Linked DNA regions of Coturnix japonica. The protein of the gene in region 1 purifies or fractionates together with the protein of each later gene. This does not show direct contact. Links are inferred from orthologs where the notes say so. Each region holds a gene or a part of one and is shown in the gene's direction. Other genes may lie near its edges.

Region 1 (3,500 bases):
AGTAGAGCTGCAAGCAGTCTTTTCTTTTGATCCTTTACTGTTACAACAATTTCAGACCTTATGTGCAGGTACTTTTATGTATTTGGCACACTGGTCATGAGGATGTTATTGAGATGCTTGACTAGCATTGAGAATGCCAGAGTTAGCATTGCATCTCCTGGTTAGAGCTGTTTGACATGTGTGAAGAAGCCTATTTTACTCTTTGACTTCCCGATTTCTATTTGTATTCATTTTTAAAATAAAATATATTCTTATTCCTCGTTTTATTGTCTTAGTGTTGCATTTTCAGCCTCTACAAAGAAGACTCATTTAACCTTTTTCTAAAGTTCACTTGTTTTTTTTTTTTAAAAAAAGCCAAATCACCCTACAAAAACACTGTCAAGTTTTTGAATTTTTACATAAATTATCAGTGTATAGATTTTGGCATAGGATTGTATTTCAGCAGTGTATGAAGAGCTTGGGAGAACACTTTGGACGCTAGCCTGGAAGGAGCAGCACTCCACAGGGATGCCTGTCATTGAACTAGGTTTGATGTAGACTTAACGGCTTTGCGTACTGTTTCCTTCCAGATTTCTCTGGAGAAAAGCATAACAGCTGGTTGATGTCAGGGCACTGTCTTGGCTGTCCTCTGTAATGGTGCAAATCTGACATGGTTCAGTGCTGGAATCATTAGGGAACTTGACAGGCCAAGCAGCACACTCCATCCCTTCTCATCACTGTTAAAGTTTCTTGCAGTGAGACAGCTAAATCAAGGGTCAAACTGTAACCTCTGTAGCTCTCCTAATAACATCTCAAACTGGCTACCTCCTTTATGTGATAGCATCCAAGTTTTGTTCATCCCAGTGTCATTTTGTAAACCATTCTTAAGTGATTATCCCCTCAAGTCCTCTCTGTGCCACAGAACTCAATTTTTCCAGTCTCAGTAGCCATTCTGTGGGGATGGTTGTACACAGCAGTTTGTCATGTCTTTGAGCCCCTGCTCATCTTAGGGGAGGAAGGAAAGCAATTGTCTGTAAGCTAGAGGGAGGTAGAAGATAGATGGAGGGTGAGCAGTAGAGACAAGGAGGGAGTATCAGTGAAGATTTTTCAGAAATGCCAGAAGAATATTCTAGCACACAGTTGTGTTCATTCACTCTGTTACTAAACTGTGCCTGTTTACTGTCCAGAAGAGTCATAGTGTCAGTATTTTAGCTTCTTTCAGGAGATGCTGGTTATTGTTTTTATTGCAACCTGATATGGCATGTGAGAAACATATGTTGGCTCTTGGTTTTGTAGTGCTTTTATTCAATGCTTTTTTTCTCTTTAGTTATTTAAACGCCGAAATGTTGCAACAGCTGAAGAAGAAACGGAGGAGGAAGTGATGTCAGATGGTGGCTTCCATGAGGCTCAAATGAACAACATGGAAATGACTTCTGTAAGTGTTGAGAAAGGCCTGCTCAGTTTCAACAAACAATATTCCTGTCACACAGTGAGTTTAAGGGAATGGAATTGCAGAATTTTGTGGAAAATGGCATTCAAAGAGCTTCCAGACAACTCTCAAACACCTGTTTCAGTGAAGAGACCTGAAACAGATTATGGGAGAAAAATTTTATGGGAGTAAATAATAAAGAGTAAATTATAAGAGACTGGCTGGAAGCTTGTAAATAAATTTTCAGGTAATAAAATTGAAATTGGGGTGTTGGAATCATAACTAGACCTGCTTAGCTGGAATGTCCTTGAACTCCATTCCAAGCTGGAATTTCATCCTATGGGATAGCTGCCTTCTAATGGAAATTAGGCTTTTATGCTATCTCTGTATTTCTTTAGGATTCTCCTGTTTGTGGAAAGAAAAATGTTATGGGATTCTGGCTGTAGCAGAATGAATAAATTAAAATACAGCCTTCATTCAGTCCAGAAGTGCAACCATTGATCTTTGTACTTGTTTTTGTGTTGAGAGTGTGTTTTGAAGCAAATCAGACTACTTTTGATTTATATTGCAGATTAGACAATGAAAATTACTCAAATGCATATAATCAACATAATAGATAATTAGTGGAAAATAGTTTTATTCTTCAAGGTAGTCCTAAAACATCAGATGAATCCTAAATGCCATTTAATTCTTTGTGTAGAACTTTGTATGAAATAAATGGATGGTGAAAAGTAGGGAAAGCCTATGTTATGCACGTTATTTCAAGTATTAATTTTAGTTCTTAAGAGTTAGTACTGAAAAAGAAGGATCTAAAAAGTTCTGTGTGTTTTGGTTCCTTTTTATTGGCTTCTGTGACAAAAACTAGACTTAACGTTTTGTTACTGAGAGCGCGAGTACTGACTAAGTATATGTATTATAGCACTGTTGTCTGTTTTCCTGTCTGTTAAGGATTTGGATCTAACCACTATAATGTTTTGGATCAAAAAGAGAGGGGAAAAAAATACAACATCCCTTAGTTGACTTTTCATGGATTTAGATTAATCAAATCAAACAAAATGTCAGATTTTCTGTTTCATAAAAAAAACTCACTGATTAGTTTGGCCATATTAATGGAAACTGTCAATATTGTGGGAAAATAGGTGGTATATTTGATTATGATAACAAGCATTAGGCATTTCAGTGCTTTAAAAAAAAAAAAAAAAAAAAAAAAAAAGTTCCTGTACATTTTGTTATAAGAATAACTTAAAACATAGAAGTTGCAAGTACCTAAACAATAATCGGTATTCTTGTATAACTGTAAATGCTATTCTAATTTAAGCTACTTTTTGTTAAAGCTGACAATATTGCAGTTATTCTATAGGATGGGAGATAGAGAAAAAAGGAGAAAATACTTGTGAGAGATTCTGAAGAGAACTTTTTGTGGCATAGCTTAAAGAAATTCTAAATTGTCTTCTAGGAAGAAGACTATACTTAAGAATGATTGTGATTATGTATCTGTATGTGTATGATGACTCATTTGTTGTTCTTATTAGTTCTCTGTCTTTTTGCTATTTTAGGGTAAAAAAAAAATTGACAGTTTTAGCAAATATTGTAAACTTCTCCCCACTAATCCTCAATTTTCTTTTCCTCTTGCTCTCTGTCACTCATGCTCTGTCTCCCCCCACCTGAATACAAGAGTGCTGTTATCACATCTGATATGATTGAGATGATTTTCTCCAATAGCCCAGAACAGCAGCTTTCAGCCACTCAGAAATTCCGAAAGCTTCTCTCTAAAGGTAAGGATTGAACTTGCTGAAAAATCTTGGGTGTCCTTGGCATCTATTTTGACTTTGACAGCTGTGAAGATCAAGCTCCATGTGGAAATTTCTAGGTGAAGAGTTTGGTCCAAGCAGAACTCTCTTGTAATATGCCTACTAGGTGTGTGTAACAGTCACTTCTATTTGTGAAACCTGTACAACTTTTAGTGATGCAGGTGCAATTCTGTTATGTAATGTAAATTTAAGCATTTTAGTCAGTGTCTCTATGGCTCACAATTTATTAATTCTGGAAGTTGAACTGTGTGCATATGTGCACCGAAGTGACTTTGCAGATC
Region 2 (2,459 bases), on another chromosome or scaffold:
TTATTTATCTCTTCAGTAGCCTGTTAAAGACTGAGATTTATCTCTGCTGTTGTCTCTTTCCTCCTTTCCTCCTTCCCTTCATACAGAAAAATCCGTAAGAAGTTTACCAGATTGCAACTGAAAAGAGCTTCCAGAACACCTTGTTCTCCAGTTCTTGCGAAGACAAAATCTCTCATGAAAAATAGGCAGGCACGAATAGAGCCAAGAACCATCACGCACTGAAGACACAACAACATCAGCAACATAATTATGTTAAAATCTTGTTAATTGTGAACACAGATGCAATGGGACCTTCCACATCTTCAGGACCTATATGGACCTATATTGTGGCTGGGTTCTGTGTTCTGGGCAGGATCCAACAGTAGCCCTTGTTCTCCTTTGTTTCTGTAAGGGCTACTTCAGGTTCGCTGTGCAGGCCTATTGATGATTGTCCCGCTATTTCCCCCACTTTCCCCTGCCAGACTTGAATGGTCAGAGAGGCACTATTCATACTGACCACAAGGAAGAAATTTGGATGCAGAGTACCCCCCACAGTTTTGTCTATGCCTTCTAGTGGTGCAATATAAGAATAAGTAACTTTCAAAACAATTGCCATGTATTTGTAGCAGGATTTAGCCTTTAGGTGTCAGCATCTTCAGAAAGTGCTGCAGACTTCAGATATTTGAATTTTTTAATATTGGCTTGAATCACTTTGGATTTGATTTTCTGAACTGTTGAGCGACCAGAGGCTGAAACAAGGAGTTGTTGTTCCGCAGCTCAGAAACTTTGACCAAATTAGGTTGTACCCAGAATTAATGGCCAGGTTTAAAATGCTGACCACATTAACTTTGGTTAAAATCCTGGAAAGTATCATGTGTGGCCATGAACATCTGGCCGGTCTGATTATCTATATATTTGCAAGCATCCACCTTTTTCTTTGGGGATTTTTAGCATTTCTTGAAGTCTACAGGAACAGTCAAAACCAGCAGAACACCATTCCCAGGAAAACATGAGGAAATAAGAGTATTTCCTGTTAGCAATGACTCTCCACTAAATAATTACTACATTTTTATACATATGGACAAGAAAGTTGTCTTGCTGCAGAATGCTTTGAAATTCATACTTGTAAGGCTACAGGTGAAGACTTACCATGGAGAGATGATGTGCCTTTTGTAACTACATGTAGGAAGCTGTCAGTCCCCTGAAAGTGGGAATGGCAACAGAGGCAGGTCTTTTTTCTACTCAGGTACTTACAGGTGAACAATCTCTGCCGTTCTTTGAGATCAAGAGGCAAGTAGAGTGTAGCACTGCTGTGTAAACCTAGCTGAGATACATTGATTATCTTAAGCAAGTTATGTCTTTCAACGATTTTGTTTCCATATGGCTTTTAACAGATAGTCAGACACTGAACACATCACCATAAGCTGGGATAAGCTTCAAGATGTTTTTTTCTAGTTCTTTATTAGGTAACTTTAATGGCACTGTATGGATGTCAGGTTATTATCTGGCTATGGATTTATGCCCAGCTCTGTGGTTAGAAAGATGAAGGTGAAAGTAGTATCTCATACCTCTGGGTGATTTCCCCCTTCCCAAAATATATTCCCCCAATTTATTTACAGTTTCAGTCTGAAAGAGCATCTCTGATACCAGCCTGTAACTAGCCATGCTGACCATGTCAGATTTTGAACTCTTGAGACAGTCATCCAGATGCTTCCTTGAAAAAGAAAGCACAGTGACCTCCCGAAGGGACTTGATTTTACAGAGTGATGGATCCAGGTCTTGTCCGCTGTCCTTCACCAGCAAGCAAAGGGTGAATAAGAAGGAGAGATTTTGTCCTGAAATGCTTCTAGTACCCTGAGCACCCTAATGAATGTCACTGATTGGGAATCAATTGGAGAAGACCTGGGATTCATCCGCTTACAGATTTTTCCAGGAGCCACTGAAGTGTGCAGCCCTAGAATTCTCTTCTATCCACACGATCTGCTTTTTCCTCACAACAGGAGAGCTTTTCATCAGATACTGAACAGACAAAACCCGTTCTTATTAGCAAGAATTGCCTTTATTAACTGCGACATATGGAAACACCTTCTGCATAATAGCTTTCTCACCCATTAAAATAAAGAAAACGTGATTATTCAGCAATCTATTTGACTGAAAGTATGAAAAACATGAGCAGAAAGAGCATTGTCTCCCTCAGGCATCACTGAAATCACACACAACAGACTCATTTTCAAAGTGTCTTTTGCTGTGAGGTGATGGATATTTTTTTTTACCCTGCCTTATTAAGCTTGTATTTGAATGATTCTTTCAGTCAGTGTGCTACAATGTCTAGCCAGTATTTTGTAAAATCCTTGTGTGTTTCTGCCTTTGACAAAAGTATTAGTATTTGTACCAGTCTCTTGTGACTTCATTTTTTCTTCTTTTCCTTTGAGGAGCAAGAGATTCATAATATGACTCCCTGTTATGCAGCTTGATGCAGT

Evidence for each region.
Region 2: the proteins of KPNA1 (region 1) and MTA3 purify together in Homo sapiens (affinity purification with mass spectrometry; 3 studies listed by BioGRID and IntAct, with this or other methods). This does not show direct contact. The link is inferred for Coturnix japonica from reciprocal best matches to the Homo sapiens genes KPNA1 and MTA3.

What each region holds. Positions count from the first base shown.
Region 1 is NC_029516.1:69,214,623-69,218,122, reverse strand, and holds part of KPNA1 (importin subunit alpha-5), read left to right. Parts: intron 1-1,306; coding exon 1,307-1,414; intron 1,415-3,083; coding exon 3,084-3,183; intron 3,184-3,500. UniProt on the Homo sapiens protein: Functions in nuclear protein import as an adapter protein for nuclear receptor KPNB1. Binds specifically and directly to substrates containing either a simple or bipartite NLS motif.
Region 2 is NC_029518.1:21,360,750-21,363,208, forward strand, and holds part of MTA3 (metastasis-associated protein MTA3), read left to right. Parts: intron 1-86; coding exon 87-222; 3' UTR 223-2,459. UniProt on the Homo sapiens protein: Acts as a component of the histone deacetylase NuRD complex which participates in the remodeling of chromatin.